4 linked regions of the Caenorhabditis elegans genome follow. The protein of the gene in region 3 purifies or fractionates together with the protein of the main gene of each other region. This does not show direct contact. Each region holds a gene or a part of one and is shown on either strand. Other genes may lie near its edges.

What was found.
Region 1: the proteins of hmg-3 (region 3) and T23E7.2 purify together in Caenorhabditis elegans (affinity purification with mass spectrometry, with the first as the bait; 2 studies listed by BioGRID). This does not show direct contact.
Region 2: the proteins of hmg-3 (region 3) and Y71F9AL.9 purify together in Caenorhabditis elegans (affinity purification with mass spectrometry, with the first as the bait; 2 studies listed by BioGRID). This does not show direct contact.
Region 4: the proteins of hmg-3 (region 3) and emb-5 purify together in Caenorhabditis elegans (affinity purification with mass spectrometry; 2 studies listed by BioGRID, with this or other methods). This does not show direct contact.

What each region holds. Positions count from the first base shown.
Region 1 is NC_003284.9:17,669,170-17,674,039, forward strand, and holds the start of T23E7.2 (Aggrecan core protein), read left to right. Parts: upstream 1-1,859; 5' UTR 1,860-1,872; coding exon 1,873-1,990; intron 1,991-2,036; coding exon 2,037-2,122; intron 2,123-4,221; coding exon 4,222-4,311; exon of another isoform or gene 4,312-4,327; intron 4,328-4,870.
Region 2 is NC_003279.8:2,875,390-2,879,007, reverse strand, and holds Y71F9AL.9 (CUE domain-containing protein), read right to left. Parts: upstream 2,077-3,618; 5' UTR 2,073-2,076; coding exon 1,922-2,072; intron 1,872-1,921; coding exon 1,656-1,871; intron 1,605-1,655; coding exon 1,293-1,604; intron 1,237-1,292; coding exon 971-1,236; 3' UTR 522-970; downstream 1-521. Other genes in the region: Y71F9AL.8 (Myb_DNA-bind_3 domain-containing protein), read right to left, coding at 1-8, 59-175, 224-319, 366-430; rpl-10a (Large ribosomal subunit protein uL1), read left to right, coding at 2,706-2,863, 3,037-3,358, 3,407-3,577.
Region 3 is NC_003279.8:5,815,064-5,820,043, forward strand, and holds hmg-3 (FACT complex subunit ssrp1-B), read right to left. Parts: upstream 3,070-4,980; 5' UTR 3,063-3,069; coding exon 2,826-3,062; intron 2,755-2,825; coding exon 2,117-2,754; intron 2,029-2,116; coding exon 1,086-2,028; intron 948-1,085; coding exon 696-947; 3' UTR 546-695; downstream 1-545. Other genes in the region: Retinoblastoma-like protein homolog lin-35, read left to right, coding at 1-266; Nuclear hormone receptor family member nhr-2, read right to left, coding at 3,809-3,922, 4,041-4,562, 4,613-4,980. UniProt on the Caenorhabditis elegans protein: Component of the FACT complex, a general chromatin factor that acts to reorganize nucleosomes. The FACT complex is involved in multiple processes that require DNA as a template such as mRNA elongation, DNA replication and DNA repair.
Region 4 is NC_003281.10:4,714,756-4,722,269, reverse strand, and holds emb-5 (Suppressor of Ty 6 homolog), read left to right. Parts: upstream 1-1,599; 5' UTR 1,600-1,604; coding exon 1,605-1,735; intron 1,736-1,782; coding exon 1,783-2,035; intron 2,036-2,108; coding exon 2,109-2,450; intron 2,451-2,500; coding exon 2,501-3,087; intron 3,088-3,131; coding exon 3,132-3,651; intron 3,652-3,704; coding exon 3,705-4,058; intron 4,059-4,105; coding exon 4,106-4,405; intron 4,406-4,453; coding exon 4,454-5,347; intron 5,348-5,394; coding exon 5,395-5,568; intron 5,569-5,620; coding exon 5,621-6,440; intron 6,441-6,492; coding exon 6,493-6,683; 3' UTR 6,684-6,977; downstream 6,978-7,514. Other genes in the region: acy-1 (adenylate cyclase), read right to left, coding at 1-58; him-18 (SAP domain-containing protein), read left to right, coding at 7,093-7,151, 7,226-7,281, 7,333-7,453, 7,498-7,514. UniProt on the Caenorhabditis elegans protein: Histone H3-H4 chaperone that plays a role in maintenance of chromatin structure during RNA polymerase II transcription elongation.

The sequences.
Region 1 (4,870 bases), on a different chromosome or scaffold from region 3:
AATTATCTAATGATAGTTTGAAGCATCTGACATAGAAACAACTTGAAATCTTTCCCCACTCTTTTAAAACTGATTCGGCTCACGTTTCCCCTCTCTCTTTTTTCAAGCCAACTCTGAAACCTGCTAAAACTCGCGCTTAAGCTCATAAGCGTTAAGTATGTATGTATTACCACTATTACACACCTTTTCGCATTCTTCTCACACCACCACACTCAGATATGTGTTGTAATCATCATAATTTTAATAGCCATGGCAATTGGCAGGCTTTGGAGGTGGGCGGGTGCTTCCTGTTTTTTCTGTTTTCTTGTTCGGAGAAGATTTCATTTTTCATTAGCAAAACTTTTTGTTTCGTGAATTGTAGATACTATAAAGTCATGTACCAATTTTTCAAAATTCAACTTATGAGAAATTTGCTACAATTTGTCAATCTACAAGTAAATATAAAAATTAGCCATTTTCATTGGAGCAATTAAAAACATAAAACTTTACTGATTTGAATTAATAAAATATATTCGATAAGAATGTACCGAAATTATACTGTAACAAGGAAAAAAAACCTACCCGAGCAATTTATATTTGCTGTGAAAATTTTAATATAATAGGAACCCACAAAAACTAAGCAGAGAAATTAAACTCCTACCTCCGAATTTTCTATTTAAAAAATTGCAGTCTTTTTTCCCGAGCACTCAAAAAACTCTAAACGATGTGTTGCAGTTTTTAAAATAAATTTCAGAATGTTTTTTCAAAGTGTCAAAATATTCTGAAAGTTACAGAAAATTTTAACGAAAATCTGAAATTTTTAGGTTAATTTTCATTTTTCAGCGCTAAAAAACTTTAAACTGAAAATTTGTCTAGTGTATTATTTTTTTTCAAATTGTTGTAAAAACAAGGTTAAGCTCAAATGTTTTGCAGTAGAAGCGTAGTTAACACAAATATATACGTAGAAAATGTTTTCCTGGAAACTTTGATCTGCATTGAAAAACAAATATTTTTCACTGATATGGAGGTTTTCGTTTTTTCAAACTTGAATTTTCGAAATGCGGACCAAATTCTTAAACTCAAACCAATAAATGTGGGATTTCAAAGCTATATTTTGGATTTCTAGCCGGATCATACTTAACAACCCATGTCACACAAACAATTACCTCAGCTAGTTAGTTAGTGTTGACGACTGAACTTTGCCCATTCTTCAATTTTTAACCCACCCAAATCCACCTCTCTAAATCACAATCAACAAGGATTTGTGCCCCCTCCTCCCTCTCTCCCCTACTGCTTTTCACCCGATGTCGTCTCTCATTTAAAAACAAGTGGCATCAGTGACTTTTTGTTCTACGAGATCCTTGATAGCTCCTGGTTTCCAAGCTCTTCTTCTTCTTCTTCTTCACCGGCAAACACACATACACAGATAGAAAGAGAGAAGTTGTTGTAGGGGTGGTTTGGCGGGGGATCTCCAACAATCCTCCCACTCATTTTCGCATCCTTCCGCCTCTTTGCTGCTTCCCATGCTTCTTTCCTCTCGGTCTGAGGTCACATTGACTGATGGATCTGTTCTGTGAGAGGAGAGAAAGAGCCATTTTTCGGCACAAAATCACCAAAAATCGGGAGGGGTCCCGCCCATCCACGGGTAGGACGAAAACAAAACAAAACAAAACACGACGATGGAGGGCAAATCGCCATTGGTTTTGAACATGCCAACTGCACTTTTACTTCATTTCTAATCTTTTATCTTTTACGGTGTACCTATACATATATCTGTCTTCGATATTTAATTTCATACATTACAATCGTATGCCATTTTTTTTGTCTCTCCCACTTGAAAAGAATATCTTACTGCTTTTTATATCTTATTGCATTTTTAGGGTCGTCGTCGAAATGTCTGAGGTGGATGCTCAAGAAGAGTTTCACGACGCTCCAGAGGAGGCAGTGATTGAGATCCAGAAGGATTTTGTCGCTGAGATTGAGCAGGACAACAGCAATGCTCAACTTGTTGGTGAGTTGAGCGGTCGGTTACTGTAATGCAAAATGTCGAGCTTCAGAAGAGGGTGATGATCAACTTGTAACTGCCGAAGCTGACGACGAGAAGAGCGCTCAACAGGTTGATGAAGACCGCACCGAGGATCAGGTACTTTTTAGAATTTTGTTTTTATTTACGCATCATCTCGGCCTTTCTTGAAAGTTCTATCTTGCCTGTGGGCTAGAAATGAGGTCCGCGTGCAATACTTGATGTACCAGCTAAACTATTTAACTTTCAACATAATGTTTTCGTTAAAATGTTTGCTCGGAATATGATACAAAAAGTGTATGCTATCAAAAATGATATTATACAAGTAGAGCAACGTGTAAGTTATTTTTCTTAAATGATTCACATACATGATTGGTGTAACCATCATGTTTTTCGAGGCTCTTACAGATTTAATCAGCAAATTGTTTGTTAAACTTGATGTAGTTGCTTATCAAACTTTTAAACTTGATGTGAAATAATTTTTGGATTTTTCGAATTATGTGAATAATTGAGAAAAAATTGTATTCATGTTTCAAATGCGTTTAATAATGACATATTTGTAAAACTGTAAAACAATGTACACTTTTTCAGTATATAGAATGTTAAGAGGTTAAGACCTTTGTATATGTATATCTTGCAATTTCCAAAAATCACATCCATTTAAATTCCGAGAGACACCCAAAAAACGTAACAATTAAAGTGGTATTCTTAAATATTTGTTCGATTTTTTCTTACTAATTCACAAAAAAAAGAAATTAAGTTGCAAATTATTTTTTGTTAAAATAAACTTCTTTTTTTTTGAATTTTCTCATCTAATTTGAGTTTCAATATTCAGGACTTTTTGATGGCACTGGAGCTATGTATAAAATAATAGAATAAATGCGGCAATTTTCATTGAAAGATTGGAAATCTGTTTTCAGATATTTTTTCAGGACAACTTTCAATTTTTTATTTTTTATTTTTCACAACGTAGATCTAGTTTCTACTCAGCTTTTCCAAAACGTTTTAACTAAGGAAAAACGTGTTGAATAATTTTTTTCCAAAACTATATACCACAAAATTGTAGAACGATTACATAAGAAAACAAAAAACATCAAAAAAATTATTACTGTAATTAAAAAAATGCAAATATCAAAACCTAAAAGATAGTGAACAAACAACACAGTTTTTGTTGGTTTGTGTTCCAGTTTTTTCCTCAGTTATTTTTTTTCTGACTTGTTGCTTTTTGTATGCTTATCGCTCTTTTCATATCATCCGTTTCTCACAAACTATCATGTAGACCTAACCTATGCCGTAAACAAGTTTTTTTGTTCTGTGCCACAGCAACCATCACTCGTCAGAGTGATATCGTGAAATAAGACAAGAGATTGCTCGATGCGTAGGTGTCCCTTTTTGCTTCTTTCTCGCAAAATCTTTTTGCGTCGAGACGAGCTTGCGAGACCAAACCTTATTTTTTTGGCTACCTAGATCCTAGATCCCCACCTTTTCTCTACGCGTTTGCAAAACGCAAACAACCAGTCATTCAACACCTTCCCAGCATTAACCGATGGTTTGATTTTATTTGCTAACTTAATTATGTTCATTTTTAACTGGTACTTAAACAGTTTTTGAATTTGTTCTTGAAAATTGTCACTTACTTTTTCTACCGGTATATATATATATTGTGAGAAACAACCATATTACTACTGTTAATTTTATTCATTCATTTTAAAGAAACCAGAAAATTATCAAATACATAACCATGTAAATTTCTTTTAAACTCACAACCTGCTGTGAAATGTGAGCAAAAAGTGTAAATATTGAAAAAAAAATAAAACTACTATTTGAAAACTGTTAATTTGAACAATAGTTTTGAACGTGTTCCTGGTGCACTTAAATTATTATCAGATCCGCTTATCTCATATTATTTTGTTATATGAGTATATAACCAAAATTTGTTCTGTTAAAAGGGCCTCCTGAAAAAGTACTTATTTAATGCATGAATATTTTCTGGCTTTTCTCTCCACTCGTATGTATTGTTTTAATAGACATAACTTTCGAAGAACCAGATGGAGCTAGCCAGAGATTCTCAGTTGAGTTGGCTCAACGAGAGCCAGATCAAACAAATCACCATCTGAGTTGTTAGTGTGTCGCCCACAAGGTGTTCGCATCACTTTTGTTCCACTTCAAGTGCAACTTTTCCTCTCCCACTAGATCATTGTTATTTTCACGTTTTGCAGGTCCCCGATATCACTGGAACGGAGTACGTGGACCCAATGACGACTAGCATGGATGGAATTGAGGATCTTCCAGCAAATGATGAAGCTCAGGTAAGACAACTTTCGATCTGCAAATTTAAAACCTAATACATATATGTAGTTTTAGAAAAAGTAATATCGACACTTACAGTTAATTTTTTTCTAAAATGAAAATAACAGTTTATGCATTCAACTTAACGTAACTGAAAAAATATAATCAGAACTTATTCGAATTTTGTCGAGACACGCGTAATTGACAATTCAAAGACAAATTAATGCTGAATAGCTCTTCTTTCTCCCATATTTAGATTTTTCATCACAATTGTAAAACTCTCAAAATAGTAGGAAAAAACTCATGCATTTTTTTCCAGTCAAACAATTTTTGATAAGTTCAACATTCAAATTTAATACTATATGTGAATGTATCAATTTGAAAATACTATTTAATTGTTTAATTCCGGCAAAGTGCGCGGTATTTGAGCTTTTTTCAAAATTGTGAACGAAAAATGAATTCCACTTTTGCATTCACCAGATATTTTCTATGAATCTTTACGATAATTGTTGTTCTAAACAGTTAGCCTGAAATACCAAAATTGGTCACGAATTATAGTTAACAAAATGTTATAAAACA
Region 2 (3,618 bases), 2.9 Mb from region 3:
TTCGAATGCTAAAAACATTTTTTTTAATTATTTCATGTTTTCTGAAATTAATAATTACTATTTTCGAGTCTCAGCACCGAGTCTTGACCCAAAACGTCTCTCAAGTGAAATTAAATCCGAAGATTTCAAATGTCGAGAGTAATAATCGATATTCGGGACAATTTGACGTCGCATTCTGTAATTAATTCCATATTTTTAATCGATTTTTTCTAAAAATTCGCACCGTCCACACAGTGATTGCACTGAATACGGACAATTGTAGGCTTCAACGTACAGTTGCCACGTGATTATTCCAAACGGTCCAAGGCTCTTGTCATTTCTGAAAGAGGTGATTCTTGAAATATCATTTAAGCATTCTATATTGCCTGGCAACCCATTTGAGCATTCTCACATCTTCGTAATCGTTATAATGATGTCGTTGGTTTCCCATCTGAAAAATTAAGAGCCTCCTATCTGGGGTGCTAACAAAAAAAAATAAATTTTTAAAAGAAACTATTTAATTTATGAAGAAAAAAAACACCTTTACACTCCCATAGTGGTTTTATTACTAAAGAAGAAGAAAAGAGAAAAGACGTAGAAAGGAAATAAAAACAAAAAGTTCTGATGTCTCCCGCATAAAACAAATAAGGCCTCTTGTGTGATATATATATATGTGTGTGTATGTATAAATTTAAGGGGGGTGCAGGATAAAAAAATGAAAAATGTTGGGGATGAAGGGAAGAACAGGAAAATTAAGCGAAACCAAGGGGGGAAAGGAAAGAAACGGAATAAGTTATAATGGATTATAATTACAAGCATAATGAATAGGGTCATTCACTTTCAATACTATAATTATCAAATCAAATCACAGTAAAAATAAAGATGCACTTTGCCGGAGTACCATCTTCGAACCAAGGAACCACAGTGAGCTGCTCGATCAAGAAATGGTATGAGGTGGAAGGGGGGATTTTTGAAGGAATGAAGAAGGGGTTTACAAAATGGACAGCTTTGGCTGATCCTTCTGGGCTCCCTTGTTGCCTTTCTTGCCCTCGCCTGACTTATTGTTGTTGTTGTTATTTTTCGGTCTGCGTGCAACGTTTTCCGAAGAGGTGATCAGGGAAGCGTCGACGCCACGAGATGCCATTGTGAGCATGAGTGTCTTCTGAAGATCAGCCAACTGATCGGCGCTGAGTCCCGATGAAGTGAGTTGGAAGCCAGCCGTGTTGGTGACTGTCTTTGATGCGGCTTTCTTATCTTCTGAAAATAAAAGAATTTTTAATTAAAATTCTATTCTAGAGACATTTTACGCATACCTTTGTGTGTTGGGCTGAGGTTAACACCTGAATCTGCTCCGACGGATGAAGTGATGCTTGACTGACTAGTAGCGTGCTTGATTGGCCCAGCGGCTGGAGGTGGAGAAACCGCCTGCTTCGTTGGAGCTGCTGCTGGCTTTCCGTTGGCAACCGGCTTTGAAGATCCTCCAAGAGCAGCAATTGCTTTGAGAATTGTAGAGGTATCAAATTGTGAAGCGTTTGACTGCTTCAACTCCTTCTCGCGGTCGTTCAATGCGAGTCGGATAGCCTTGAAAGCTGTCGACAACGGATCAGCTGGAGCTGGTGCACTGACTGAAAGGAATTATTATTACAGACGAAAAGAAAGAAGAAAAAGATACGTACCAACTGGTTTAGGTGCAGCAGCTGATTTAGTTACCGAAGAAGAGGCTGGGGCGGCTACAGTTGGAGCTGGAGCCGCTTTAGCAGGCGCTGGAGCACTTTGCGTCGTTTCCGGGGCAGCTGTTTCAGTCTTCTTGCTCTTGTTCTTCTTCTTTTTAGCTGCGGTTACACTGACTCCATCTGATGTGGTCCATCCTCCAAGAATGCTAGAGGCTCCATCTGAAAATTAAAAATAAATTCTAAAAAAAAATCAAATTAAAATGATTTACCTTCCAAGAAAGCAGAAATTGTCTTGCCAACGTCAAGATCGAATGAGTGAAGAACCATAATGATGTCATTATTGGTTACACTATCAACGACTTCACGAACTTTGGCGATTTTCTCCTGCATGATTTTCTTCTCGCTTTCCTTTGGTGCCATTTTTCTGGAAATTTGAAGTAAAGAAACGAGAAAGGACACATCGAAATGTCAAGAAAGATACATAAGAAACAGATTATGAGAAGGTTCGGTAAAACTTTGGGTAAGCGACGTAAAACACCAATCTCCTCGGCTGGTTGGCACGCGTTGCGGTCGCGTAGCGGCCAGGGTGGCACTGAGACGCGCGTTTCGGAGAGCGATAACCTACATAATGGGGAGCGTACTGGGAACAGGGCAAATGGATATTTTATCAATTTATACGAGTACTGATTGACAGGATCATGAGAATGATAACAAGTGGAAAAAGAAATGAGAATCTCGAAGGAAAAGGCCTAAAAGGGAAGGAAGACGTGCCACGAGGAAGACGCATGTAGTTTTGCAGTGGTGTGTACCCGCCGCGAAAGCAAGTACGGTAACACTCGTTGCTGCGTGTGCACTGCTTGGCCTAAAATTTTATCTCCACAGTTCTTTTCTCTTCGTTCTGTGGTTTTTCTGTAGATTTTTGGATATATTTTCTCCTTTTGAGTGATTTTTACTTTCTTTCAAGGTTTTAAAAGCCTATTTTTTCGTTATTGAACGTTATCCACTTGCTGCCCTCTATATAGAATTCTTAATTTATTTCTATTTCAGGGTAAAATGTCGAAGGTTTCCCGCGAGTCTCTTAATGAGGCTATCGCTGAGGTCCTTAAGGGATCCTCGGAAAAGCCACGCAAGTTCCGTGAGACTATCGAGCTCCAGATCGGTCTCAAGAACTACGACCCACAGAAGGACAAGCGTTTCAGCGGATCCATCAGGTAGCTACGACCTGTGAAAACAGGGAGTTGGGACTTTCAAAGCCTAACGGACCCCCACCCAGGGTCTTAAATTTTTGGGGAGGCAATTATTGCCGCTTTGAAATAATGATATGAGCTGGTATAATGTAACCAATCGTGTCATTTGGATTTATTTCTATTGTTCTATTTTCCAGACTGAAGCACATTCCACGCCCAAACATGAAGGTGTGCGTCTTCGGAGACCAGCACCATCTTGACGAGGCTGCCGCCGGAGACATTCCATCGATGAGCGCCGATGACTTGAAGAAGCTTAACAAGCAGAAGAAGCTCATCAAGAAGCTCGCCAAGAGCTACGATGCTTTCATCGCTTCCGAATCCTTGATCAAGCAGATCCCACGTATCCTCGGTCCAGGACTCAACAAGGCCGGAAAATTCCCTTCCGTCGTTACCCACGGAGAATCTCTCCAAAGCAAGAGTGACGAGATCCGCGCCACCGTCAAGTTCCAGATGAAGAAGGTAAACATTATCATTCTTATTGCCCTGTTAATAATTGTATCATTTCAGGTTCTCTGCCTCTCCGTCGCCGTCGGTCACGTTGGACTCACCCAGGAGGAGCTTGTCTCCAACATCTCCCTCTCCATCAACTTCCTCGTCTCGCTCTTGAAGAAGAACTGGCAGAACGTGAGATCGTTGAACATCAAGTCCACCATGGGAAAGCCACAAAGAGTTTATTAATTACTTTGTTATTCAATAAACATTGTTGATTTGATTCTATC
Region 3 (4,980 bases):
TTGATATAATCAAATATTATAATATCGAGTTTCGGGATCGTATCAAGTATATTATCGGTCAAATTGATAGTGCTTCAGATGAAGATTTGATGGAAATGCCGGTTGCAACAGAATCTGGATTGATGCCTGTTCGAGTTTATTTAACACATAAATTATCGATTCAAACGCTTCCAAAAACGAAACACGGAGAGTCGAAACAAGAAAGAGCTATTGCGAACCTTGAAAAATCTGGAATTACGATCGCTATGGAACGGTCTGGAGATTAAAAATGATTGTTGTGAATACTTTGAACTTTTTAATGCATTTTTGATTAATCATTTAGTACTTCTTTTCTCGTCTATTTTTTTATCTTTTCCTTCAAATTCAGGCAAGTAATTATACTTTCCATTTCTAATTGATTGCTTCAAAATAGACGTCTAGTTATATTCAAAACAATCCCCCTTTTGAATTGGAATCTTCAAATATCGTATTAAATATTAATATTGTAATCATTTTTCACAATCCCCCATGCCATTATTGTTACTGATTTTTTCTCTCTTTTTAACCATCATCGATAAATTCATTTTACAGTTATAATTGAAATTAATGGGAATCCAATATAAAATGGGTAAATGATTGGAAAGAGGATGAAAGAGATCTATGAAAGTAAGAAGGAAGGCGAATAAAAAGCAACAATAAAATATTTAGTCAGAAAATCAATCCGATTCACCAGAAGACTCGGAGGCAGCATCGGATTCGTCTTTCTTCGCCTTTAGCGGCTCATCGTCATCGGAATCATCCGTATCACTGATATGCTCCTTAGACTTGAACTGTTTACCCGGAGATTGATCGGAGCTTTTCTTCGTGGATGGTCCAGATGCTTTCTCTACTCCTCCACCATTCTTCTTGTATTCTTTCATTTCCGCTTCGTATCTTGCCTTGTCCTGTGCAGCCTTATCGTTCCATTCCTGAATAAAAATAATTACTAACGGGATAAAACAAAACATTTTTAATGGCTCTAAAAGTGATTGAATTTTTTAGATTCGAAAATCATGGTTTTTTCTAAAATTAAAAGAGTTTTTGATTTGAAAAGTCTATAAAAATACCTTTTTATCATCCGCACTCATGGACTTCCACTTTGCTCCGGCTTTTTTAGCAACATCTCCGAGTGTATCCCCATCTTCTTTCATTGAATTACGATTGGCATTGAACCAGATGATATATGCAGTGGTTGCTCGTTTCGGCTCATTTGGATCTTTAGTTTTCTTTCCTTTCTTCACAGCTTTCTCCTTTACCGGCTTCTCTTTCTTCTCGCGTTTATTCTTCTTTTCTTTACTCTCCTTCTTTTTTGGTTCAATATTCTCTTCATCTGGATCAGATTCTCCAGTTCCTGAAGCATCTTTCTCTGAGCCAGAATCATATTCATCGTCAGGTTCACTTCCAGAACCTTCTGATGAGTCTTTGTCATTCTTCTGCTTCTTCATATCCTTATCCAAATCATAATCCTCATCAGTACTTTCATCATCGCTGTCATCATCTTGTTCACGACCCTCTGCTTTCACAGTTGACTTGTATGGATCGATATCATCTTCATCGCTGCTTCCATAACCAGCTGATTTGTTATCGATACGATGAGAATTGCGAATTTTGATCTCTTTCTTGTTTAGATAGTCGAATAGTTTGTTGTTCTCTTCTTTATCCATTGCACTGAAAGTCAACGATGATCCAGTTTTCAGATCAATCTCAAAATCAAAAGTTCTTGTTACAGTTCCGCTATCAGAACGTGCGAAATGACATGAGCTAATCTCTTCAAAGCGAATGTACATGACCGGCTTTTGAATAAACAAAAATCCCTTTTCCATTGGGTACAACAATCCAAGGTTCTGACGATGTGTACATTGTATGGCAGGAGTGCCCGAACTTCCGAGGAATCGTCCAGGAACGGTGACTTTCAGATTGCAAATTGATTTGAAGAGAATTGAGATTGTCTCATAGATTGGTCCAGTCATTTCACGTTGAAGATTTCCATTGAAATAGTCGAGTTGTTCACTGAAATACTCTCAAATTATTGGACGGCAATATAAAATATATTTGAGTGGCACGGAATTGTTCCCAGAAAATTCTGAAATAAACTCACTCAGTCAACGACAACTCCAAATCTTCTTCTTCATCCTTCCCAAACTCGAAAATGAGATAACTGTAGTGTGTCTGTCCCTGGCGAATGGGTGGGTTCAACGACAACACAAAATATACTTGGCGTCCATCTTTATGAGGAACCAAGAATAGACGATTGATCGTTTTGACAGGAATCTTGTAATCGTACGTCTTTCCGTGGAGTGCAATACTTGTCGGATAAACTTTAATATCATATCTTCCACGAGGTGTTGTGCACAGAATATCAGTGAGAAGGCATATTGGTTGCTCAGTTTCAGCCTCCAATCCAGCATATGCCAGCACTGCTTTCTTGAATTCTTCTACTTTATCAGTATCCTCCTCATTTTCTAGATCAACTGGCATATGGAATCTCATCTCCATCAGCTGAACTTTGCTTTGTTCATTCTGATGGAACTCCAAAATAGCCTCATTTTTGTTGGCAATGACGTTTGACACATTCGTGCACGGAATTTCGAAAATCGGTTCATTTTCCCATGAAAATTCAATATTTTTGCCTTTGACATCGGCCTGCCCATAGTTCCATCCATTGATGAAAAGATTTGATTGATTGATAGATTTAGACCAGTTAGAAGAAGTGAACGATTGGATTTTCTGAAGATCCTGAAATTTCGAATTTGAATAAAATGAGACTACAAACGTATAAAAATAAAGAAAACGAACAACAAACTAACATCATCCAAGAATCCTCCGAAGCGGTGAGCACCTCCATCACTAAGACCAACGCGTAGTCCCGGCTTGTTGCCAAGCTTTTGCCATTTCAGTTTATCGACGTCGGTTCCTGTGATGTAAACTGATTTTCCACCCTTATCGCCTATGAAGTTAATCGAATTTTCAGTCAATGTAAGCGTTCCGCATGTTAAATGGCCTATATCCTCCACGTAAACTCCCTTGAATTTGAGCTCAGTCATTCTGAAACTTGTCAGTCAATAACGCGTGTAAAGAAAAGAAGCGAAAAACGTCCGCGAACAAGAAAAGTCCGGAAAAGAATGAAAAAAATGAATTCTCGAAAAATGCACTCTAATTTTTTCGCGCGTCGAACCGAAAACAAAGAACTACGGTAGTCGATCATACGTGAACACCGAAGTATACTGTATACGCAAGCACCGCATCTGACGACCGTTTCTATTAATTTTATTATTTTTTTAATAATTGACTAATTTTGACAAATAAATTGACAAATTACTATTACGACAAATTACGACAAATAACGGTAAAAGTTGTGGCACGTCAAATTTTTTCCTGCATACAAAATAGTTAAATTATCAAATAATATTTATTTCATCTTTTCAACAACCAAGAAGCAGTACCAAATATATTAAGTTTTTAACAAACTTCAAATAATATAATTTTTGGTACTGTAACAGCCTAACAAACAACATCAATTGGAAATTCAAAAAGAAACAGTATATAGCCCGAACGAGAGAGTGAGATAGAGAATTAAATTCACACCTGGAGGAAGAGATCAGTAAGAAATGATCAGACTTTGAGAACATGAATAGAAAATGATAGTAACGGGGGAAGGGGACTTTAAACAAGTATTTTGAATCTATATTGATTCATAAGACAGGAATAAAGTTTTGTGAGAATTCAGAACCGGTTGGAAGCGTGTCCAGACACCGAATCGGTTCTGAATTTATCAGAAGTAATATATTTGTTATTGATTGAGATACGGTCCCAATCTCATGAGCAATCGATCGCAGAGTCCTATCTCTTGTAGATGTGTTTGAGACAGTTGATGGCGTAATCCTTGACAATAACTCGTAAAAATCTGAAAAAGGTTAACTTTCTTGGCGCAATATTTACTTTCTTGAGTGTTATGGTAGGGATTAATTGTGTCATTTGGGAATATTCCGACAATTTTGGCATTATGCCAAACAATTACTTACCTCAGCGACACCTCCATTGACTATTTGAAGTATATGAATTCCAGAGAGAAGTGCAACTTCACAATCATTGAATACTGTATTACGAATGCCGCCACGAAGCAAATTTACTGGATTCTCACAGGAATAGAAAGTGATTGGATCAAATGTGAAAGCCGCACGAATAGCCAAGATACCACTCATCACTTTTTGAATACTCATTTCAAGTGCTTTTTCATCTTTTGGCAAAAGTGAGCTCAAAGCTGGAACTGATTCAATAAATTTCTTAATTGCTCCAATAGCATGAGTTCCCGATGTTAAGTGAGTAGAGCATGGCATGTTTGCAACAAAGGCGGCCGTAAGCTCTTTCACTTGTGATGTCATCTCAAAATTGGGCGAAGCCACTGATGGTTTAACATCTTTATCAGTTTCTTTGTTCACTCGAACGTTGTCACGATTCATTCCAACTGCGAGGCATTTGGCAAATCGACAAGCTTGACAACGAGTACGTACTCCACGATTTGCCGCACAATTTTCATATGAGAACTGAAAAATATAATAGCATATTTTTGAAATGCTTGTCTAATTAAACTCACTGTGCAATTTTCTCCTTTGGTACAAACATATGCGATATTCTTGTGAACACTTCTTCTGAAAAATCCCTTGCATCCTTCACAACTCTGTACTCCATAATGATATCCAGTAGAGTTATCACCACAAACCATACATCTATCCTTTTTAAAGAACTCACTCCAAGCATTCATTGTGAGATTATAGTTTGAAAAGTCTGGAGCAAACTGTGGCATTTGTGGAACTACTGTCATTGGTGTGTTAGTACGGTCATATGGAGTACCACGTGGCTTTTTTGTTGAAGCAGATGACGCTGGGAATGTGTTACGACGAACAGAACTGTTCTCTTTATCATCGGCTTCATTTCCGTTGTCTGGAGAACTTTGAGTCGAAG
Region 4 (7,514 bases), on a different chromosome or scaffold from region 3:
CTGATGGTCCACATGAACCACCGAGAGCCGGTGTTCGTTCACCGACATCGTCGTCCATGAATCCAGAAGACAAGAAGAATCTTCAGAATAGAAGACGTTGAAAAATGAAAAGGAAGAAGATGAGGCAAGTAGAGGAGAGCGAGTAGTAGTTGTTCCCCCTCCTTCGCCTCCTACTCCCCCCAACTGCTTACTCTTTTTCTCTCGTTCACTCTCTTCCAATCTCTCACTTACTTTTGAAAGCCTTTTCAGAGAAAAAGAGAGTAAAAGAAAGTGCGCAGAGAGCTTTGGAATGAGAGAGGCGCAGAGTTTGAAACGAAAAGCTGCGCGCTCGACTGGCCCCAGGGTGGGGCGGGTCCAAGAGTGTGGAAGAGAGAGAGAGAGGATGGAGAATAGACATTGAGCCTCAATCTTTCGATTATTGTGCTCATGGATTCGGGGGATCCCATGGGATTTGATAAGTATGTCGGAAACAGCAAATGAATGAATAATTAGCGATGGAAATTAGGACTTCAACTAATGAAAAATGGTCAGCAAGTGAATATCTTGGGGGTTTTTCGGATATGATGATCAGCAGGTTCAGGTTATCAAAGTAATGCAGTTTAAGTGAACCTTCACTGTAGGCACTTACCCCCTAGGCATCTGGTAGGGCGTATATCTAGAATTGAAACACTGATTCAAGCGAAACTTTTTCAACTACCGTACTCGGGAGTACTGTAGTACCTCAATCTTTCTCGCCAAATTTCTCCTGAAATTACAGAACTTATGAATTGATTTTTCCTCGAAAAAATCTACGTATATATTTGAAATCGGGAAATAAGGAAAAAAAACTTTTAAAAAGCTTCTATCATACTCGCTGGTACGGTATTTGATAAAGTTTTTCTTCGTGGTAAGATTTTTGTTGATGAAAGAATGAGTCTGTGAAGAATAAACCTTCAAAATTGAACATGGTAGTTGAATGAAAATTAATCTTTTATGCCTAAATAATTTCACATAGCTATATAGCTATTACATTTTTCGCAACAATTCTGAATACCCCGGTTATCGTATTTCGTCGTCTTGGATGCTTGCTAAATGAACCAATTTGTTTACCTATCACGCAATAAAGATGAATCGAAATCACTTTTCGCAATATCGCTTTAAAATGAAACATATAATTCCTAAAATACGCGAAACTCGGGAAAGCGATATTTTTTAAACGACCGCGTTTTTCTATCTCTACCCGCCTCTTGCAATCCCACACTCTCTCGCCTAGCATCACAATGGGGCGCAGTTGCATAAATCGCTTCGCGTTCAAATTCAGAAAATCGTCTCATTTTTATTTTTGTCCTCGACCCGAATGGCCGGTTTCCTTCTTTCTCCGTTTTCTTTATTGATTAATTTTCGCTCGTTTGGCCTAAAAACCGCGTAAAATCCGTCATTTTTCACCTATCTGGCTAATTTTTTTTGCACAAAATAAGATTTTTCAGTTTTCTTTCACTTTTAAACCTTTTCCGCACTGTGAGCTGTTTGCAATTTTCTTAATTTTGCTCTTTGTGCTTTTCGAAATTTTTGTATTATGAAATTTCGTTCTTCCCAAGTGAAATTAACTGAATTTGTTGCAGGTAATGGATTTTATCGATAATCAAGCCGAAGAATCAGATGCCTCCTCGGGCCATTCTGATGATGAAGAACCACAGTCGAAAAAGATGAAAATGGCAAAGGAAAAATCAAAAAGAAAGAAGAAAATGGTTGCCAGGTAATTATAATTCCGGGGTATTTCTATTTTCATTTGTTCATTTTTAGTTCTGACGAAGATGAAGACGACGATGACGATGAAGAGGAAAACCGTAAAGAAATGCAGGGATTCATTGCAGATGATGACGATGAAGAAGAGGACGCAAAATCGGAGAAGTCAGAAAAATCTCGGCACTCGGGAGAAGATGAGCTCGACGATGAAGATCTTGATTTGATCAATGAGAATTATGATATTCGAGAGACGAAAAAACAAAATCGAGTTCAATTGGGTGATTCCAGTGATGAAGATGAGCCGATACGAGTGAGTAATTTCGATTTTTTTCAATTGCCACTAAAATTCATAATAATAATAATAATCAAATTCGGAATTTCAGAGACCCAACCACGAAGATGATGATTTGCTTTCCGAACGAGGAAGTGACGATGGAGACAGGCGAAAAGATCGTGGTCGTGGAGATCGCGGTGGTTACGGATCAGAGTCTGAAAGAAGTGAGGATGACTTTATTGAGGACGATGGAGATGCGCCACGAAGACATCGGAAACGTCATCGTGGAGACGAAAATCTCCCAGAAGGCGCTGAAGATGACGCCCGTGATGTATTCGGAGTGGAAGACTTCAATTTGGACGAGTTTTACGACGATGATGATGGCGAGGATGGTCTAGAAGACGAAGAGGAGGAAATAATAGAAGATGATGGTGAAGGAGGAGAGATAAAGGTTGGAATTTTTGAGAAAAGCTTTGCATTATTGAAATAGGAATGGTTCAGATACGCAGAAAGAAGGATACTACAAAGAAGTCAACACTTCTCGAATCCATCGAACCAAGTGAAATTGATCGTGGATTCTTGTTACCTGGGGATAAGAAAATCGCGAAAGAAGATTTACCAGAGAGGTTCCAACTCAGAAGAACACCAGTTACAGAAGCGGATGATGATGAACTGGAATCTGAAGCTCTATGGATTATTAAATATGCCTTCGAAGAAGGGACAGTGACAAATCAAGCTGACCTGGATCAAGACGATAAACTTGATTGTATAATGAATCTGGATCCTTCTGTCTATGAAGATAGAAAGAAAGCTGTTATAAAATCCATCAAGAAAGTTCTCCAATTCATTCGAGTTCGTTCTAATTCGTTCGAACCTACGTTTATTGGATTTTATCGTAAAGAAGATATTGACAATCTTCTGACAATGAATAATCTATGGAGAGTATACGATTTTGACGAAAAATGGTGTCATTTGTCAGAGAAGAAAAATAAAATTTACGATTTAATGCGTCGGATGAGAGAGTATCAGGAACTCAGTGACGATTTGACCGCAAAAAGACGACCGATTTCGGATGCAGATTTGATGGAGTAAGTTTTAAAATTTAAAATTTAGAATTTAAATTATTTTTCAGCACAAAATACGCAGAAACTCTTGAACAGCTTACCGACATACATGCAAATTTCCAATTGTTGTACGGTGCTCTTCTCGACGATATGATTAGATGGGAAAAAGGACGTTTAACCGGTGAAGAAGAGGAACAAGAGTATCGAGTCAAGTTCAAGTCAAGCATTCGTAATGATAAGTATCAAATGTGTGTGGAAAACGGAATCGGAGAGCTTGCTGGACGGTTTGGATTGACTGCAAAACAGTTTTCTGAAAATTTGAACTGGAAAAAACACGACATTGAGCAAGATCCGATGTTACCATTGGAAGCAGCAGAAGAGTATGTTTGTCCTGCGTTCAGTGACAGTGATATGGTTCTGAATGGTGCGAAATTCATGCTTGCCAAGGAGATCAGTCGACAACCACAAGTCAGGCATAGTGTTCGGCAAGAATTCCGCCAGTCTGCACATTTTTGGATCAAGCCAACGAAGAAAGGACGTGATACAATTGATCAAACTCATCCCCTCTATGACAAACGGTATATCAAGGTGAGAATTATTTGAAATAAATGTCTAGGATTTTAATAAATATATATTTTTAGAGTAAACCAGTTCGAAGTCTCACCGCTGAAGAGTTCCTCTTCTATCACAAAGCCAAAGAGGATGGTCTTGTTGATGTGCTCATCATGTATGAATCTGAAGAAGATCAGGATTCAAATAACTACCTCGTTAACAAGTATCTAAGTGATTCCATTTTCCAAAAAGACGAATACACGGAAAATGTTGAACAATGGAATTCAGTGAGAGATGAGTGTGTGAATATGGCTATAACTGAAATGCTTGTACCCTACATGAGGGATGAGTTGTATAATACGATTCTTGAAGAAGCAAAGACTGCAGTAGCAAAGAAATGTAGAAAGGAGTTTGCATCTCGAATTTCTAGATCAGGATATCTGGTATTAATTTGATTTAATAACTATGTAATTGTTTTGTTTTATTTCAGCCGGATTTCGATAATAACGATGACGATGATGATGGTATGGATCAACATGGAGCTCGTCGAATCATGGCAGTGTGCTATCCAACAGAGCGAGACGAAGCTTCATTTGGTGTAATGGTTGATGAAAATGGTGCAATTGTTGATTATCTTCGAATGGTTCATTTCACGAAACGAACGTTTGGCGGTGGAAACAATGGACTAAGGAAGGCCGAGTCAATGGATTTGTTTAAGAAGTTTGTACAGAGACGAAAACCTCATGCTATTGGATTGAATATTGAGGATATGGAGTGTACTCGATTGAAGGTTTGCACTAGTTTTGAACATTTGATACTTAAAAACTGCAATTTTCAGAGAGACCTCGAGGAAGCTGTGGCAGATCTTTTCTCGCAGAACTTGATCTACAAACCAATTCCAGTATTTTTGATGGACAACGAAGCCGCAAAAGTCTACATGAGATCGAATGTTTCGTTGGCGGAGAATCCAGATCATCCACCGACGCTCCGACAAGCTTTATCCCTAGCTCGTCTTCTTTTGGATCCCATCCCAGAGTATGCTCATTTGTGGAATATTGATGAAGATATTTTCTGTCTCTCTCTGCATCCGCTTCAACGGGATATCGATCAAGAGCAATTGGCTTTGGTTCTCAGTCATGAATTGGTGAACAAGGTCAACGAAGAAGGTGTTGATATCAATAAATGTGCAGAATTCCCTCACTACACTAACATGCTCCAGTTCACATGCGGATTGGGTCCACGAAAAGCCACTGATCTTCTGAAAAGCATAAAAGCTAACGATAATTTGATAGAGAGTAGATCGAAACTTGTGGTTGGATGCAAACTGGGACCAAAAGTATTTATGAACTGTGCTGGATTCATCAAAATTGACACTATCAAGGTATCGGAGAAGACTGACGCTTATGTTGAAGTTCTTGACGGTTCGAGAGTACATCCAGAGACCTATGAATGGGCTAGAAAGATGGCTGTGGATGCGTTGGAGGTTGATGATTCTGCTGATCCAACTGCGGCTCTTCAAGAAATCATGGAATCTCCTGATCGTTTGAGAGATCTCGATTTGGACGCGTTTGCCGATGAATTGAGTCGACAAGGATTCGGAGAGAAAAAGTCGACGTTGTATGACATCTCAAGCGAGTTGAGTGCGAGATATAAAGATCTTCGGCAACCATTCCAAGAACCTACCGGAGAGCTTTTGTATGATCTTTTGGCTCGTTCAGGAAAAGAAATTAGAGTATGTTACTTGTAATAATTCTGTCGATTTTATTTTTATTTTTGCAGGAAGGAGCTAAAGTGTTGGGAACAGTTCAATCTGTGCAGTACCGTAAAGTTGACAAAGATGCAGCAGACAGCATGTTACCTGATGTTGGAGAAGATGGTCTTTTCACTTGTCCATGTTGTAAATCGTTCACATCTTCGGCTCCTGGTGGAATTCAAGAACATATGCTCGGTGACGTAAGTTTTTCTCAACTAATACTATTCGTTAACCAATGTTAAATTATTTCAGTCTCGTCAAGGTGGATGTCCTGGAACACCAGTCGGAATTCGAGTCAGATTTGACAATGGAATGACTGGATTCTGTCCGAACAAGAACATCTCATCAAGTCACGTAGACAATCCATTAACCCGAGTCAAGATAAATCAGCCATATTACTTCAAAGTTCTCAAGTTGGACAAGGAGAGATTCTCACTATTCCTAAGTTGTAAGAGTTCGGATCTGAAAGAAGATGATTTATCTCAACGTGATCAGTACTGGGATGAGCATCAATACCAAGCTGATTTGGAACTGATGAAGAGTGAATCGAAAAAGAAGACAGAAGCAAATACACGTGTGAAGCGAGTAATTGCGCATCCAAATTTCCATAATGTATCCTACGAAGCTGCTACGAAAATGTTGGATGAAATGGATTGGTCTGAGTGTATTATTCGTCCATCGGCTAATAAAGATTCTGGTCTTTCTGTGACATGGAAGATTTGTGACCGCGTCTATCACAATTTCTTTGTCAAAGAATCCGCAAAGGATCAAGTTTTCTCCATTGGTCGGCAACTCTCAGTCGGCGGAGAAGATTTCGAGGATCTTGATGAGTTGATTGCTCGATTCGTTCAACCGATGATACAGATCTCTCACGAGATAACAACTCACAAGTACTTCTTCCCAAATGGAACATGCGAAGAAACAGAAGCAGTCGAGCAATTTGTACGAGAGAAGAAACGAGAGCTGGGACGATCTCCGTACGTATTCAGTGCATCCTACAGACAGCCATGCCAATTCTGTATTTCTTATATGTTCGATAATACAGAACGGATTCGACATGAATATTTCAAAAGTGAGTTTCGAAAAGAGATACGAACAAAGTTTTCAACTATTTTTGTTTACAGTTGTCCCACATGGAGTCCGATTCCGACATCAAAACTTTGATACGCTAGATCGAATGATGGCTTGGTTCAAACGCCATTTCCACGAGCCTCCCATCGAGTTAAGGCGATCTGCGATCCCGGCTCCACAGTATCGAGTTGGTGCTCCTCCAGCAGCTCCATACTATCCTCCTCAATTCGTCGGCTATCACTGAAAACCCTGATCTTATTCTCTTTATTACCCACACCTTATCAGACACATTCAATCCTGTTTCCTTTGTTCCAGTCTATCAACGATGATCTAATTTTAATTTATAGAATACAACATCCATCTGTCTTAATCCCACATAATTTGTTTTGATTTCGGTAATCCGTTCATCCTCGATTTTTACTTTTCAAACATTTTTATATATCTATCAAAATATTTATTCAAGCAGTCATACTGTTCATGAGCTCTTTCTGTATTCAAGTACCATTTTTGTTGTTTACTCAATAAATTTCGTAATCAGAATCACTGCTAAATCATCACGAAAAAACGTAGAATGCGTTGATCACAATTGATATTGGAATAAGAATTGCAAATTCAGTTTTAGAAGAAAAAAAAGTATTCTAGATTCTACTCATATGAATGATTCATCACTAAAAAAGGCACTGTCCCAAAACTCGATCTCATCCGCGCCAAGGTAGTAAGGTTTTTGTTTCTGTCGTATCTATTTAACCTAAACGTAAATTAAAAAATATCTGTCTTTTTTTCTAGGCGTCCTCAAAAACTTGGAAGTGTGCAGAGTATTGTAAGAAATGAATCTGACAAAAGTAAGTTTCAAATCAAATTTCCCAATTAAATCAATTAATTTACTTTTTGAGATGTTCCTTCTCCTTTCGAAGAGATCACACTGAGCGACGATGATGAAGAAGCACCGGCTAAGAAACCTGTAAAATGTGCGACGTGTGCACGAGATATGACTCTTTGGATGAATTCCAGAAGGTTTGAAATATTATTTGTGTTTCTTCTCACTGTTCAAATTTTAGAGATATTCATGTAAAAG